Linked DNA regions of Saccharomyces cerevisiae S288C. The protein of the gene in region 3 purifies or fractionates together with the protein of the main gene of each other region. This does not show direct contact. Each region holds a gene or a part of one and is shown on either strand. Other genes may lie near its edges.

Region 1 (3,863 bases), 120 kb from region 3:
AAAAATAGCATAAAATAGTAGGGTCAAACAACAGACCAAGACGAGACTGTAATCATCATGTTGTAATAAGAATCATGTATTAACTATCGACTAGTATTCATGTCAGTAGTATATACTGTCATATACAGTGTAACGTGGGGACATTAATTTTGATGACTTTTTTATGTCCTCACGTTACACCGCATGTGACGGTATACTGGTAACACAAATACTACTAAACAGATGGTATTTTACAGTTTCATTCCAACAAAAGCATGAAGTGTAATTAAAAAAATGCTTTCTTGGCTTGTATTCATCTAATTCATTTGATCATAGCATGTGCTCTATATTGTAATGGCCAAGCTCGGCGTTAAAGTTTTTAGTTGACATATTTATCATCTTGTGTAATATTTAACATAAAATAGGTTAAATTATTGTATCTCAAAATGAGATACGTCAGCCTGACAATACATTATCCTAAACGTTCATAAAATACATATGAAACAATCCTATAACAAAACGAACAACATGAGATAAAACCCGGCCTCCCTTAGCCAAACTACCCAAACATATAAATGCCTGAACAATTAGTTTAGATCCAAGATCCGTGCTTCCACCATTTAGTATGATTCATATTTTATATGATATAGGACAGTTAACATTCCTTGAATCAAGCTGATAATCCGTTTTGACAACTGGTTACTTCTCGAAGACTGTTTATATTAGGATTGTCAAAACACCCCAGTATTATTTGGGCTCGTAATATGATATAAATCAATAGTCATATGGCAACTTGGCCGAGTGGTTAAGGCGAAAGATTAGAAATCTTTTGGGCTTTGCCCGCGCAGGTTCGAGTCCTGCAGTTGTCGTTATTTTTTCTTTTTCTTTTTTTTTTCTCTGAAGCAGAGATGGAGAATAATGAATGCCCTTATTCTAGGACATAATTCACTATATTGTATTGGTTACATACAGCTCTATTTGCTCTTTTTAGAGAACTACGACAGTGTTATATGAGCCAGTTAGTTCTAGACTTAAAATGTTTGAAGGATAAAATAGCAACGAATTACGATATTCATAACAATGTTTACGGTGGAAACGGAATGGAACCAAACATTATTCATCCGTCCAAAAGATTCAGGATTGTTGTTCGATTAGTAGATTTCTTGTTCTGTAAATCGGATGAAGAATTCATTAAAGGTTTTTTCTGTCAAATGATAGTTAGAAATCTTCATTGCCTCAATTCAACAAATGGCGCAGAGGAGATGCGTTTGTATATGAGCGAAAGATTATTTTCAGCCCATAAAGATGATTTGAGATTGATAAATGGGCAGGTACTGGATGTTCGCATTGGGGTATGGTATGGAATACACCAAAGTCCGCCAATTTTTGAAATCATTGATTTTAAGATACTATCCAGGAATGACGTTCGTGATTTCTGTGAATTTGTCAAATCACCACTTGGTGAGAAGTTTCTGAACATCTCTAACTCCTAAGTCAGACGTTTGGCATATACTGAGATTATATAATACCTTTGATAAGAATGTAAGAGGACCCTTGAAAATAGTTATTGTAATGTTATGTAATGTAAATAATAGTATACAGGTGATTCTTATTTATCCCATGAAATAAGTATGAGAAAAGAAAGGAAAGAGGCAATTAGCCCGGTTCTGTTCTAACTAAAAAGCAATTTTCTTTGTATTTCTTCTTCTGTTCTTTAGCAGAATCTTTTGCTTTTCCAATTGTTCTTCCTCTTCCTCGTCACTGTCGATTTCCATATCCTCCTCTTCTTCTTCAGATTCCTCTTGTTCGGATACTGATTCAGCTCTTTCTTGTTCTTTAGCCAACTTTCTGGCAATTTCAACTTCTCTGATTCTCAATAATTCTGGGTTAGATTCGACCAATTTCTTATCTCTTAAGAAGTCCTTTTCTTTGTTACCTCTCATTCTATTCTTGTAGAAGGCTCTTTCACGTTTTTGTCTAATTTCTTCGATTCTAGCCATAGCCTTCAAAGTTGTGGCAACTAACTCTCTATTGTATCTAACAGGGACATTTCTTCTTTGGGCAAAAGTCAAGGTAGAATCCACAGCCAATTCTTTTCCGGCAGCCTTTCTGAAAGCTTTGGTCCATTTTAGTTTTCTTGGGTTACGACGTTGCTTGAATGCCTTGTGACACTTAGAACGGCAGAACCTAAACTCTTTAGCATCGTTACGCACAAACATGATCCCATGACCTGGATAACATGGGGATGAGCAAAAATGGCATTGATAAATTCTCATTTTTTTATACTTACTAAACTTCTACTTCCTTTTCCTTTTAGTTTCTGAATGTAAATCACGGGGAGGTGGTGGTAACAATATGGACAACTCACGCTTGAATAGCAATATCTTTCAAATCACAAGTCGAAGAACTTAAAAGTGGTATATCACGGATCAAGATAGAAACTGATGTAAGTTGGAGATAGGGTGGGATGAGATGAGATGAGTTTAGAAATACATTATTTAATAAAAGACGAGTGAAAATTTTTCACTCCGCTGAGTTCGAGGCGAGCGGGCAAAAAATTTAAAGAGCGAGAATCGGACCAAATGTGAAAGCCATTTGAATCAACGTAGGACTCACTCGACGGAGACCCTTGAACTAGACAAAGTACGAATAGTAGTGGAATTTGTACGTCTCCACTGGCCGAGCACAGTTTAATAAGGTTGCATAAACACTTCCACCCGCACAATATCATGAGTTCTCAAAGTAATACTGGTAATTCTATTGAGGCACCACAACTACCCATTCCTGGTCAAACTAATGGCTCTGCGAACGTTACTGTTGATGGAGCTGGTGTTAATGTCGGTATCCAGAATGGTTCGCAGGGTCAAAAGACCGGAATGGACCTTTATTTTGATCAAGCTTTGAACTACATGGGAGAACATCCTGTGATAACAGGTTTTGGGGCCTTTTTAACTTTATATTTTACAGCCGGTGCATATAAATCAATATCGAAGGGACTTAACGGTGGAAAATCCACTACTGCCTTCTTGAAAGGCGGATTTGACCCGAAAATGAATTCTAAAGAGGCTCTACAGATTTTGAATTTGACAGAAAATACATTGACTAAAAAAAAGTTGAAAGAGGTTCATAGGAAAATTATGTTAGCTAATCATCCTGACAAAGGTGGTTCTCCATTTTTGGCCACTAAGATAAACGAAGCTAAGGACTTTTTGGAAAAAAGGGGTATTAGCAAATAAGGTAAAACGGGAACCTAAAATGAGTTATTGCAATTGCATATATGCCTAATACAAGTGGTATAAACCTCGAACCGTGTTCAATCACATGCCGTTTAGGAGATTAAAATACTTCGGGCAATCAAATGTTTGTATAGATAAGTCTTGTAAATAACACGGAAAGCTATGTATTTTAGTTTAAATAACGTATACGCCCTCTGTGATTAGCGATGAACCGCAACGATCACAATTCTTGCTTACATGGGTAATATAATGCTTGAAACAATCAACATGCCAAATTTGAGACAGACTATTCTCTCCAGTTTCCTCATTCTCTTCTCGGCATGATTCGTTGCCGCACCTGACACCTTGAATTGCCAGCTTGTGGCAATTTTGGCAAGTGTTCAAATTGTACATGGATGTTAGATACTCTTCTAGTTCTGCTATACAGCGAAGATCAATACCGAATTTCCCTTCCTGAGTCCTGTAAAACCATTTCAGTTCGCATAATCGGAGTAGTAAGTCTTCGATGTCCGTTGCTGTTAATTCTTGAAATTGGAAAAGATTGGTGGACCCTACAGTAAACGTACTGAACTTACGCCATTTCGCGAGGTTTGAGTCTCCTGTAGCTGCTACTAGAATACGGTTGACTTCCTTCACAATTATCGAGGT
Region 2 (4,063 bases), on a different chromosome or scaffold from region 3:
GCCAGTGAAGATACACCACCACCATCGTGTAAACCGCAATCAACTATAGAGAAATTCTCCAGCCTTGTGAGAGCAGATTGTAGGATTTCTAAAAATCTGTCAATACAATCCTCAAATACCTCTAAAAATGATTTAGCAAGAATGAAATGGGATACCGTTGAGGATGTAATTCTTTTAGTTATGGAGGAAGCTAGCCCTGTAGAAGTAAATTCGAAACCTGACACGTCGAAATCTTCATGGAAAATACATTTTTTTAAAACAGACCAAATTCCCTTCCAATCCTCTTCAGTTTTGTCCGGAGTGGAAGGATTTTCTAAAATAGAAACAACGCCTTCGATTTGATGGAGCTCCTCTGTTATTGCTTCTTGCTCAACGTTCATCTGAGAAAGTACTCTATTAACTAGGTTCACACCCTTGTTTTTAATATAAGCTAGAGATAGAGTTCTGAAAATGTGTATTGAAATTTTCTTTGGTTTTACTGAATCAGGAATTTCCATATCAGTAAATTCGTAATCATATTCTTCATCACCCTCATCACATTCCTCAATACTGCTATGCAAATCCCCTTCTTCGTCAGAAAGTGAAATATTTTCATTCCCGTCTTCCTTTAAATCAATGTTATTGAAATCCACAGACAAATCCTTAACCAAATCAAAAATGCCCTCTCTTTTGATGGAAGGAAAGAACAGTTCGGAAAACTTTTTACAAATTAAGTCAAGCAACGAGAGACCACCAACCAACAGTGTACCAGCTTCTGATGAGTAAGTACCATTAGCGTTAGACGCTGTTTCTTTTTGGGCCAGGATAGATCCGATTAACTTAATAAGTTGATCATTGATTGCCTTTGCTGTGGAATTATTTATGCATGATACAACCCTCAGTAAAGCAATAAGTACGTATCTTCTTACGTCAAAGTCAGCAGCATTTGTATAAATTTCAACGAGAATTGGAATTAGACATTGAACTAGGGAATCAAACTTTTCCTGGTTAGAAATTACGCCACGGTCGCTATTTCCGGTATATTTATCCGCTGACAGTATTCTTTCATCCTCGGGAGGAAACAATACAACTATAAATCTAGAAATGCTAATCAATAAACTGTTTGGGACATAAATCAGTGTTTCATGTAACCCTGCGTTAGGACTTTTACTATAATGCTGGAATGATCGTGTTGCCATGTCGACAATGTCAGTTTTCTCTCTCAGTTCTCTTGAAAGTACATCACTACTCATCGCTAATACGGTTAAAATATCCAAACATTTCAGTTTATTCTCCAAGGGGGTATCCTGAATAGAAACTAGCTGAACTATTCTTTCGATTAAATCCAACGAAAACAAAGTCTCAAATTTGTCAACCCCATGCAACGCCCCGCAAATACCGTACATGGCATTTACAAGCCTGGTTAATATTGGTTGGTCTGTCGCATTCGAGAAAATTGGCTTCAGCGTTGGAAGTACTTCAACAATGGTCTTAAAGTCATCCGTTCGGATACTGCTACAGGCGTTCGAAACAATTGCGATAGCCTTCCTCTGCGCATGTATAGTTAAAAAATCGAAGAATTGGACGTAGATTGATAATTGGCCCGTTTTTAAAATGTCTCTCCCATGTACTCTAGAAATATATTCCACCGTTTCTAAAACTTGTTCTGCGAGGTCAATGTAACTGATCTCTACCAATTTTCCTTGTAAAATTGGTATAACGTGTTCATCAACAGCTATTGAAATAGATTCAGGGCAGACCTCAAAAAGATTATACATGCATCTACAAGCTTGCATTTGTAATTCTAATTCTTCCCGTAAAATTTTATCAGAGAGTATGGCAGCTATATTACCTATTAAGGTTTCCATCGGTATAATTCTATCGACAACCATTTGATTCATCATTAATATGTTTTCAGAAAGTTCTTTTAAACTCTCCATTGCAATATAAGGATCCTCGGAGGCATTCCCAGTATTCTCTATCAATTTAGAAATCCGCTCATTCCTTGCCGAACTCTCTGCGCTCCTCTCCATCCTTCCTCCAATCATCGATAAAATCTCGGGTAGTGTTCTTCCAACCGGGTGTTGCCCAAGTCCTTCACTTGTTTGTCTTCTTTGTTCTAGTCTTTGTGCGAATGTTTCCAAAATGTCAGGTAAATGTAGGGGGTTGCTGCCAAATTCATTATTATCGTGAGAACGTTCAAGTCCATCTTCTTCTTCATTTCTGTCTTCGTCACTGCCATTCTGAGTTCTATGATATCCATATAAAAGTCCAGAATCATCTTCATGATGGTAATCGTTATCGTCATCTTCACCATCATCTGCCTCAAAACTTCCGACGCTAGAAAGCATATGTTCATCTTCATCTTCATCAGGATAATAAGAGTACTCACCCTGTACATGGCCATCCTCATCATAGTCATCTTCTACCTGCGTATCCATCATATAATCACTGTTTTCGCTATGGGACTCATGTTCATCAAGGTTGTGCGAATTATTTTCAGACATGCTTGGCTACTCTTCTATTTTAAATGTTTATCCAAAATTTTCACACCTGAGATATATTGTTGTTAATAAAGCACACAGAAAGGAAAGTATCGATCCCAGAAAGTGGTCTTTCCCTGGGTATGATCAAAGCTATTCCCCTTTCCAACTACTGTTGGCTATGATCCCACAATTTGATTTCAGTTCAGAAAACCCAACCATTAGGACTTTACCCGGCGAAGGTGAAAGAAAAAATTTTTTTCCAGAAAAATGCGATGAGCTTTTGAAAAGTTGCAAATATTTGTAGTACTTTGGCTAAGCAGAGCTGATTCCTTTTGCTATACGTACATCACTGTCTATCGTCCATAAAAGATTTATTATAGTTGAATCATGCCAAGATCAAAACGTTCCAAGCTAGTCACTTTAGCACAAACCGATAAAAAGGGCAGAGAAAATAAAGAAAGAATTTTCGATGAAGTGAGGGAAGCCTTAGATACTTATAGATACGTCTGGGTCCTACATCTTGACGACGTAAGAACTCCAGTTTTACAAGAAATCAGAACATCTTGGGCAGGCTCTAAGTTAATTATGGGTAAGAGGAAAGTTTTACAAAAAGCATTGGGAGAAAAGAGGGAAGAAGAATACAAAGAAAATCTGTATCAATTGAGTAAGCTTTGTAGCGGTGTCACTGGTTTATTGTTCACTGATGAGGATGTCAACACTGTCAAGGAATACTTTAAGTCATACGTTCGTTCAGACTATTCAAGACCGAACACGAAAGCACCACTAACATTTACAATTCCTGAGGGCATTGTCTACTCACGTGGTGGTCAAATTCCAGCTGAGGAAGATGTTCCAATGATTCATTCTTTAGAGCCAACTATGAGAAACAAATTTGAAATTCCAACTAAAATCAAAGCTGGTAAGATCACCATTGACAGTCCATATTTAGTTTGCACTGAAGGAGAAAAATTAGATGTTCGTCAAGCTTTAATACTGAAACAATTCGGTATCGCTGCTTCTGAATTCAAAGTCAAGGTGTCGGCCTACTATGACAACGATAGCTCCACTGTTGAAAGCACTAACATCAACATGGAATAAGCTGAACTATTATTTGGAAGCCTTTTTTAATAGACCATTGTATAAAAATTTCTTTTTTTTGTATAGATATACTAAAGCAACGCTCATAAATGTAACATAGCTTCTTTTCAACTGAGAATTTATATTCATGCTAACTAAGCGTAAATCACTTTTGATCTTCACAGCTCTTTAGCGGCACGAAAGCAAGAAAAAAAGATAACACTGTATGTCTGGAAAAGAATACTATAAAAATACCTGTTTACATAAACCAATAAGGAAGAACGTGAGAGCAGGACCGTAAAAGAATTAATGTGTAAAGAATTAATGTGTAATGGTTATACTACTTAAAAACACCGTTTTCCTTCAAATATCCTTTTTCGTTGGAGTACTGTCAGTTGGAGTAGTGGAACTTTCATCACTTTCTTCGTCTGATTCACTATCACTTCTGTCATCCTTGAGAATACCTCTCCATAGAATCCTGTAAAGAACTCTAAAAATAAGGAACAGCCAATAAAGATTCA
Region 3 (3,994 bases):
ATGGATAAGCTGACGAACCTCATGACCCACAAGGACGAAGTTGTAGCGCACGCGACTCTATTGGACATACCAGCCAAAGTACAATGGTCAAGACCAAGAAGGGGAGACGTGTTGTAACAGAGTAATCATGTAATATTGTATGTAAGGTTATGTATGTTCGTATGGTATGGAAAAAAAAAAAAAAAAAGGATGCTATGTGGAGAATGTAAGGCGTGGTAGCTCCGGATAATTCAGTCTGTAGGCTTCATCACGGGCAGTGGCCTGACTCTGAGAGCTTGCTCCGGTATTAAGTTGTGCGTTTGAAATTTTCTGGAAAAAAGAAATTGATTGGTTGAAGCTATACTCGTCGAAAGATTTCTTCGGCAGTGGTTGTTGCTCCACCTGCACGGGAGTTGTGTTTGCGTTTATGTTCGGCTTGGCTATATTATTAGCGAGTGATGTTTGCAATTTGCTGTATTGAGAATCAATTTGGGTGCGTAAGCTTTCAATAATTTTGCAGACCGCAGGCACTTCCAACTTTATGAGTTGCAGGTATTCTCTTTTATGAATATACGATGACGACGATGACGACGACGCATCCATGCGCAAAAGCTCAGGGTGTCTAGATAGTTTGTTAGTCAATAAATCCACATATCTAAAATAATAAATAAACGACAGCGACAAGTCGTTGGCCTGGAACGCACACTGTGCCTTTTCCAATATGCCGATGCATGTTTTCAGGTAAATTCTCAATGGTATCGCCGGATTGAAGCGATAATCCTTAGCGTCCTGAACCAATTGCTTACTAGACTTCATGACCTACCGGGGCCAGATAAAGATGCGGAAGGAAGAGAAAAAATGTATAGTGGTTGGTGAACCGCAACAATAATTCGTGCCAACACTTTAATCGAAGCAAAAATTGTCTTGTATGTTATTAATATTATCTATCTAACCATTGATTTACGTATAAAACTGTCGATGCTCATCGCCTAGCAATGAAAAAATTTTTTCTTTTTTTTTTCATTATTTCTCTTTGTTGCGTACTTTTTTTCATTGCGTTTCGCGGCAAAAGCGATTCGAGTTGACTGGAAGTGTGTTATACTATAAAAAGTGTATATGCCTATTTTTGGTTCTGATCTTTACTTTACTGTTAAGTACTGGCTGAGGCAGTAGACTCTGCCTCTGTTACGGCAGCGGTATTCGCCTCGGCATCAGCAGCCGCCCACGGTAGAGTAGGTTCTGTTGTTTTGACGTTTGCCAAGGTACTGTCCAAATGCTCCTTCAGCAAGGCCTCATTACTTTCCTTCTCCGGACCCACCGATTGCGTGATCTCCTGTACACGGTTCAAGAACTTGTTCAAATTGTAGCCCGCAGCAGCATCAGAGACTTCTTGTGTGTAAGGGACACCCCTCAACTCCTTGACTCTTCTTTTGTGCACTTTGCCCTTTAAATGCGTTTTTAACGCTATAGCAGTCTCCATGTATTTGGCACAGTGTATGCAATAGTGCTGACCAAGGCCCGGTTTGGTTTCATCCAATGGCTGGTTCAGAAGCTTCTGTACTGATTCCTTGGTGGACAAATCGTTATAGATCAGGTCCAAGTCTCGTGTTCTTCTTTTAGTCTTGTATCTCTTCACCGAATATCTACCCATGATGCGCTATTGTTTTATCTTCACTTGTCTGTGTGTTTAACTGCCTTTCAATTCACCTCATCTCATCTCCCGCTACTTTCCATATATAAAAGCAAAATTAATTTGCTTTTTCCCCTGTCAGTATAAAAAAATTTTCCGCAGGATATAGAAAAAAAAGAAATGAAATTATAGTAGCGGTTATTTCCGTGGGGTGCTTTTTTACACCTGTACATCTTTTCCCTCCGTACATTTTTTTTATTTTTTTTTTTGGTTTTTTTTTTTCGATATTTTTCCCTCCGAAACTAGTTAGCACAATAATGCTGACTAAGGAAACTTTTCATCTCAGAATTGATGGTCAGTTTGGTTTCTCTAGAGAATAGTTTATAAAAAGATGTTGATGTGGAGCAACCATTTATACATCCTTTCCGCAAGTGCTTTTGGAGTGGGACTTTCAAACTTTAAAGTACAGTATATCAAATAACTAATTCAAGATGGCTAGAAGACCAGCTAGATGTTACAGATACCAAAAGAACAAGCCTTACCCAAAGTCTAGATACAACAGAGCTGTTCCAGACTCCAAGATCAGAATCTACGATTTGGGTAAGAAGAAGGCTACCGTCGATGAATTCCCATTGTGTGTCCATTTGGTTTCCAACGAATTGGAACAATTGTCTTCTGAAGCTTTGGAAGCTGCTCGTATCTGTGCCAACAAGTACATGACTACTGTCTCCGGTAGAGATGCTTTCCACTTAAGAGTCAGAGTCCATCCTTTCCATGTCTTGAGAATCAACAAGATGTTGTCTTGTGCCGGTGCGGATAGATTGCAACAAGGTATGAGAGGTGCTTGGGGTAAGCCACACGGTTTGGCCGCTCGTGTCGACATTGGTCAAATTATCTTCTCTGTCAGAACCAAGGACAGCAACAAGGATGTTGTCGTTGAAGGTTTGAGAAGAGCCAGATACAAGTTCCCAGGTCAACAAAAGATTATTTTGTCTAAGAAGTGGGGTTTCACCAACTTGGACAGACCAGAATACTTGAAGAAGAGAGAAGCTGGTGAAGTCAAGGACGACGGTGCTTTCGTTAAGTTCTTGTCCAAGAAGGGTTCTTTGGAAAACAACATCAGAGAATTCCCAGAATACTTTGCTGCTCAAGCTTAAGTTCTTTTCAAACATTTGAACTAACTTAAAAGAGAAATTTTTTTGATTTAAATTCTAGTTTATTAAACAGTAAATATATTTATACATTATTGTAATACATATAATTATGTGTTTTTTTAAAGTTCAGCATGTTGGGTAGTGATATATCCTGAAGTCAATGGACACTGTTGCTTTTTGTATACCAGCAGGAAAAAAAAAAGCCTGAGCTGCAGTAACGAAGAATTGTTGAATGCGTCTAACAAGAAAGGGAGCAATCGATAACAGGGACGTGCGCCGCTAATGTCATTCAGATTATTCACGAGGACTTCTCAACGTCTCCCTCGCCTTAACTGGGTTAGTCCCATCAGGCGATACGCCAAACAACCTCAATACGATGAAGCAGAGTTGTTTGCAGAGAACATTAACCATGGCGCATATAAAGCAAAGAAAAGGCCATCAGACGAGCATTTCCAATGGCCTGAGAAGTCTCCTGATCAGATCACAAAGGAATCTGAACTCCAATGGGAAAGGATGGCGAAATTATCTGCTGTTGGGCAAGGGATCCTCATTCTCGTGGTAGTGGGTGGGTTGGGAACGGCCTACTTGCGTTGGCCAGAATTAAAATCCTGGTGGTTAATCAAGATGAATGGCGGTCGCATAAATGCAACGCAAGAGCAAAGTGGACAGGATTCGTTGGAAAAATTGATCAGACAAAAGGCCAAAAATCTATTAAGGGAGATTCCTCAAGTGCCTGCCTTTCAACTTGGAATAGATCATCCTGGTGTATACATATGGGGAAGGTGTCATTCTAAGGACTCATTGTTCCCTGTTAGAGTACCTAATTTGGATGGTCGTAAATTCAGAGATATCCTATTAGCTCCCTCTGACGATTTCAACACCAATTTTGCAATTGACGAGAAAGGCGATTTGATATCGTGGGATGATTTGGGACAAACAAAAACGATATTGCCAGATCAAGATTTGACCTCAATGAAGTATTCTAGTCACTTTTTGTACGCTTTGAATAAAAAGGGTGAAATATTGGTCATACCTATAAGAACGCCGGATCTGATAGCTTCGCAAGTATCATCAAGAAGGTCGAAATTGTTGCCATGGAAGACAAAACTAAGATATGATTGGAAATTACAAACAAATCAGATTTTCAACGGTAAGGAAGGAGAAAAACGTGTAGTACAATTTGACGCTGGTAGCCATCATCTGGTGTTGCTATCTAATTTAGGTAAGGCTT
Region 4 (5,531 bases), on a different chromosome or scaffold from region 3:
CGACCTTCGACCTGAAAGTGCCGATCGGCCTAGCCAAAGTCCCCACAAACTCAGTACTGATTGACACATGATTATACTGCGAGACCAGTTGTCTTATAACGGCGAATTCACTGTAAAGGTTGGACTTCCAGACATCGCGAACGAAAAGATAATTTGGGGGTGGTAAAAAGATCGGTGGCATACTTTGGTTGGTTAAATGCTTGGGTAGCTGGGAAGCCAAGGGACGATTGAGTCCCACTCCCTGCTGCTGTTGCTGCTGTTGTTGTTGCTGCTGTTGTTGTTGCTGCAGAACGTTCAGTCCGGGCGGCAAACTAGCCACCGAAACAGGCGTTCCTATATTAAATGGCTGCTGTTGTTGTTGCTGTTGCTGTTGTTGCTGAGTTAACAGTGGCTCGTTCTTCTGCTTCAAAAGATAGGCATTGTTCATCTCCTGATTAACAGAGCCATTAATTGTATTTACAGGCATCCCTTGAGGAAACATTCTTGCTCTATTAACCTTTGGCGAATACACCTGAGGTCCCATGTTTTGCTGCTGGTGTTGTTCAGAAGCCTGCCTCTGAGAGAAAAACTGCTCACCTCCTACAGCTAATACCCTCGGTTGTACATTCATAGATTGCATAATCCTTTTTGACCCTTTATAAATGTATAAAATTGAGTTGCCTGTTTCTAATCGTTCGAAGTATTTCCAGTATGAAAAACAAGGAAGCCCTGATAACGAGACACGCTAATAAACTTCAAACTGATCTTTCTTGTCAGTTATCATTCTACTACTATAATTGAAAAGACTCAATAAAGAAAATATCATAATGATGAAAAAAGAGCGAGCAGCGGGTAAGGACCGAATTCCGTTTGGAATGACTGGTATAATGAGATTTACCTTATACTATAGAGAGGGCTATATCATTACCGAACTTAAGTTTTCTATTGGAATATTATACTTTATAAACTAAATAATTACCCATCTATGTTGTTTCCCCAAGAATGTTTGCTGCCATATAATAAGAACAAAAAAAAAAATAACAAAAAAAAAGAAAAAAAAAATCACTTGTAATCTTAAATTAATATTATACACCGGTTGTCCGTTTTTACCTCTATGCCGTCTTCTCAACTTCTTTCTTCTTTGGTTTTTCTTCCCCTTCCTTTTCAGGTGGAAGGACGAACCAAGGGATTTTACCTCTATTAAAATCATTCAATATTTGCTTAGAAACACCAGACTCATCAGGCTCACCACCCTTCAGTAATCTACCTTGTTTCCTTGCCAGAATTTCAATAAACTCCGTGGCATCCTTCCATCCTGAGATCTCGTAAGTTCTTTCCAAGTGCTTTACCTGACAACGTTTTAAAACACCTGGAATATATTGTTCTGGGTGTGTGACGTGTTCGACTCTGACAACACCTCTGAATAAAATGTCTTCTTCGGAGTCTTTACTAGAAGGCGGCACAATACCTGGACAATCAATCAAAAAAATTCTTTTCATAAGAGTAATATATTGCCAGACCTTAGTTTCACCAGGGATTGGTGCAACTTGACACACCTTTTTCTTTCTCAATGTGTTAATGATGGACGATTTACCAGTGTTTGGATAGCCGATAAACCCTACAGATATTTGCTTTCTATCAGTATGCAACTGTGAGAACTGACGTAGCAACTGAATTAACGAACCTTTACCGAAAGAGTTGGTAATAGATGCGTGAAACGCCAAAGTTGGACGTTCCTTTGACAAATGTTTGACCCAAGCTGCCTACTTGTAAAGTTAGAATTGAAAAAAAAAAACCTTCTGTTAGTAAAAAATACATTTTGTTTCATAATAGGTAATCTTTTGCCCCAAGAGAATGTAATAATCATTGTTATAGCCGAGATTGATTGTTTCGAAGAGTGGATTAAACTAAAAAAAAAAAAAAAGTAGAAAATTGTGAGGATCTTTACTACGAACATATTGTATGGAGCCCGAGATAAAGTCTCAAATAACAAAAGCTCAACTCATAAGATCCTCGCTGTTCTAAAAAGCGAAGGTATACCTTTAAAACAAAGGTTGTCCTTCTAATTTACCCATGAGGCTTCCCCAGAACGGGGAAATATGGATAAGCGAACAGTATTACTCTTCCAAAACAGTAACAGACACTTCTGTAGATAAGTTTATCCTAAAACGGATAGAGAAGCACCCTGACAAAAAGGTTTGGTAATAAAAATCATACTCTATCGAAAAAAAAAATCTCTCGTGCTATCCTCTTGGTTGGAAAGAATCAAAAAAAAAAAAAAAAAAGTTAACATACTGCAACCCAGGTAGGTACCAAATCACACTTATTAAGAACATAAATTAAATGCTTGTGTGGTGTTTCCTTCTTCATATACTCTTCCACGGACTTACAACGGGTACCCAATGGATCCCTTGCATCTAGAACATGTATTACCACGTCAGACGAATCGATGACTTTATATAATTCGTTCCAAATACGTTTGGATTGACCCTTACTGAAAATAGCTTCTTTTGCTGCGGAGGTCCACCCATTTTCTTTGTCTTCCTGGTTCCCCATTAGTCCTAATGTGGCATCTAAGACTTGCTTTTCCTCATACTTGGTAATGTCTTCATTTGTAGCCTTGACCAAGTCCTCTAGATTGGATGCAGCAAGACGTGGTCTCTTTCTTTGGGCTTTGGGCCCAAACGCATCAGCATAACTTTCGGTATCCAAAATTCTGGCTTTTGGGGATTCATCTGCGTCCTTTTCTTCCAACAATGACATGGGAAGCTTATTTCTTCTCAGAAGAACTTGATATGTATCTTTTTGGGTTTCACCCAATGCACTTCTGAAATGCTGCAGTGCGTCCTGAGATATCACTCTTGTGTTACCGAACCAACGACGATCTGGTTGGACCCTCGCATCCGGTATTGTGGAGTCCTGGAAAGAAGCGGCCCTAATTAAATTACCTTTCTTATTCCTGATCTCCTTCCCACTAGTGTACATATTCAGGAATTTGACTCTCTTGGAGTCTCTGTAGAAATTTTCACCCTTCACACGAAGATTACCATCTTTGGTGTCACCTTCACGAATACGTCTAGATTTCTCTTTCTTACCAGTACCCATTGTATTATTCCTCCCCTGATATTTAGTGGTTTTGCTGCAAGTCAACAGATCTTCAAAGTTAACACTTAAGGGAAAGTACTAACAAGTAGTAAATATCTTTTATATATTCTACGCTTCTTTATATGCCCAAAAAGAAGAAAAGTGAAAAATTTTTCTTCAAGCGAAAAATTTTTGCGATGAGCATCGGGCAAAAAAACGTGCTAAATGACAGGTTGTGTTTATATATTTGTTATTGATTCTATATTATAGTAAATTGGTGAGAACATTACCCAAGTCTTTGGACCCAGAGGATTGCTGCTTGATATCAGAGGGAGCATTGGCACGGCTTGTTTCCACACGACGTTGTTTAAATTCCCTGTGAGGGTGAGAATCTGCAGACTCTCCTTCTTTTCCGGCGCGCTTCCTAGAGTTCTTAATGTTTTGTATCATCTTACTTTGCTCCACGTTTCTAATGAATTCCGCGTTCAGTTTGTTGGCCTGCGAGATTTCCATCTCCAACTTGGCCTGTCTGATATCGTTCTCGCGGGCAATCTGTTCAGTCAAATCTGCCCATTTGAAACCTGGGAGGTACTTCACGTTCAGGATATCATCATGGTAGAAAGTACCTTTCTTGCCACCAATAATGTTCCCGTTCAACGTCTCCGCACACAATTTGGCGTCTCTTTTCCTAATAAACTCGGCCCAACCTTCTTCATACTTGTTTTTCTTGTTTCCTCCACCTTTAACTCTTTGCTTGTACTTTTGATCGTCCTCTTTCTTTAGAAATAGTCTATCTACCTCACCAAAACGAGTTAATATTTGTCTCATTTTTGCAGGTTTCATGTAAGGTGGAATACTGGAGAAGTATACCACCCCAGTCTTGTGTTTAGACTTCTTGGCGGCCTTTGATTTTACCAGTTGCCTTAGTTTTTCTGTTTTTAAATCCAGTGAAGTGGTGGACGAAGCTTGTTCTTCTACTTCTCGATCGAGCTTTTCTCCATTCTCTTTATCTGGTTGTTCTACATCCTCTTTTTCTTCTTGTTTTTGCTCTTCTTCTATGTCTGACTCGTTTTCACTTTCGATGTCTTCTACCTTCTTACTGAAGATATCATCCTTACTAGAAATTTTTTTCTTGGTCTGAATTAAGACGTTATGTTGATCGGTTTCCTCATCTGAGGAAAAGTCTTCAAAGTCACTATTTACTTTTTCACTCATGCGTAAAAATTTACTTCACTCTGCTGCAGTAAACTGTTTGCTTTGTACTTACATAGCAATGGGTAGTTTGTCAGGTTGAAATTTTTCAAAATCTTAATAGCGAAAGTTTTACTGCGCAATGTGAGAAAAGCTGGCTATAACGAAGTAATTCAAAATAATAAAACAAGAGAAAGAAAAAATTTACACGTCATTGCCTTTGGAAATGTGATCAGACAGACCCAATATCACCGTTTAAATATTCTTCACGAGATAATGTAGTTTGTCAATTGAAACGCTATTTGGTGGCTGGCTAATCAAATATGGTCGATGAAGGGGTTGTCAATCCAGCAGCCCTTAAAGAATTGTCGCTATCTGTTTGTTCCTATAATTAATTTGCACTGAAAAGATACATGTGCATTATTGCAGTATATTATAAGGAATTCCGGAGTTTTCTAGTAACTTTCTAGTCGCGCAACCGAGAGATGAGTACTACAACGCAACCTATTTGGTAGTGCATCCTACACATTGTGAACGTTTTTGGTTCATATTACAATATTACGATATTACGAATTTTACCCTTTCTTTAATACTAACTTTGATCAGAAAGCACCTTTATCAATATGGCCACGTCTGGGAAGTCGGTCATAATCAAAAGGCTACAGGCTTTGGGGTTTGAAATATCAATATACGAATTGTGAGACTTTGTTTTATCTTAGGGACGAAAATGGATGTGTGAAATTACTTATGGAAGGATCAATAATAGCAACGTTTGCTAATGTGTTAAGATGGCAAAATGCTACTGGTACGCCTCGTTGAGTATCCATCATTATTAATAGCGCCAAAATTGAAACATTAATTGCGGTTTTAGAACAACTTTAGAATTACAGAGCAAGGTGATAAGATCTCAATAGCTTATGAAAAATAATAATTTTTTAGAACCTAATGAACGTGTCGAAACTTTCCGCAAAATATTATGTACATCTCTACTCAACCTTCTATTAGGATCATGAGAAATGTGTTAAAACAGAAAAAATGCACCCTCATAATAAAAAACTTGGCCAAACCAAACCCTTTCTAGTACATCGATATGTATATCACACAATAAAGTCAATGCAGCATAACTTAGAATCGAGGTAGCGACTCCCCGTATTGCTCAAAATGGAAAATTCTATGGAAATAGAATTCATATGACTCTGAGAACTAAAGGAACATTATGACGAACAAAATTGCTATGATGTGAGGAATAAGATGATACAGTCCTACCAAATACCAAA

What was found.
Region 1: the proteins of BUD20 (region 3) and RLP24 purify together in Saccharomyces cerevisiae (affinity purification with western blotting; 5 studies listed by BioGRID, with this or other methods). This does not show direct contact.
Region 2: the proteins of BUD20 (region 3) and MRT4 purify together in Saccharomyces cerevisiae (affinity purification with mass spectrometry; 6 studies listed by BioGRID, with this or other methods). This does not show direct contact.
Region 4: the proteins of BUD20 (region 3) and NOG2 purify together in Saccharomyces cerevisiae (affinity purification with mass spectrometry; 9 studies listed by BioGRID, with this or other methods). This does not show direct contact.

What each region holds. Positions count from the first base shown.
Region 1 is NC_001144.5:164,929-168,791, reverse strand, and holds RLP24 (ATPase-activating ribosome biosynthesis protein), read right to left. Parts: upstream 2,256-3,863; coding exon 1,656-2,255; downstream 1-1,655. Other genes in the region: TEN1 (Ten1p), read left to right, coding at 990-1,472; PAM18 (Pam18p), read left to right, coding at 2,709-3,215; Smc5-Smc6 complex subunit NSE1, read right to left, coding at 3,390-3,863. UniProt on the Saccharomyces cerevisiae protein: Involved in the biogenesis of the 60S ribosomal subunit. Ensures the docking of NOG1 to pre-60S ribosomal particles. Activates and recruits ATPase AFG2 to cytoplasmic pre-60S ribosomal particles.
Region 2 is NC_001143.9:423,390-427,452, forward strand, and holds MRT4 (ribosome assembly factor MRT4), read left to right. Parts: upstream 1-2,852; coding exon 2,853-3,563; downstream 3,564-4,063. Other genes in the region: putative ubiquitin-protein ligase UFD4, read right to left, coding at 1-2,486; sphingosine N-acyltransferase LAC1, read right to left, coding at 3,906-4,063. UniProt on the Saccharomyces cerevisiae protein: Component of the ribosome assembly machinery. Nuclear paralog of the ribosomal protein P0, it binds pre-60S subunits at an early stage of assembly in the nucleolus, and is replaced by P0 in cytoplasmic pre-60S subunits and mature 80S ribosomes.
Region 3 is NC_001144.5:280,827-284,820, forward strand, and holds BUD20 (Bud20p), read right to left. Parts: upstream 1,631-3,994; coding exon 1,130-1,630; downstream 1-1,129. Other genes in the region: LAM6 (Lam6p), read left to right, coding at 1-117; RFU1 (Rfu1p), read right to left, coding at 193-795; 60S ribosomal protein uL16 RPL10, read left to right, coding at 2,101-2,766; FMP25 (Fmp25p), read left to right, coding at 3,046-3,994. UniProt on the Saccharomyces cerevisiae protein: Involved in pre-60S ribosomal particles maturation by promoting the nuclear export of the 60S ribosome. Involved in positioning the proximal bud pole signal.
Region 4 is NC_001146.8:720,029-725,559, forward strand, and holds NOG2 (putative GTPase NOG2), read right to left. Parts: upstream 3,085-5,531; coding exon 2,275-3,084; intron 2,184-2,274; exon of another isoform or gene 1,910-2,183; intron 1,743-1,909; coding exon 1,092-1,742; downstream 1-1,091. Other genes in the region: CCR4-NOT core DEDD family RNase subunit POP2, read right to left, coding at 1-619; RNA-binding ATPase activator ESF2, read right to left, coding at 3,328-4,278. UniProt on the Saccharomyces cerevisiae protein: GTPase that associates with pre-60S ribosomal subunits in the nucleolus and is required for their nuclear export and maturation.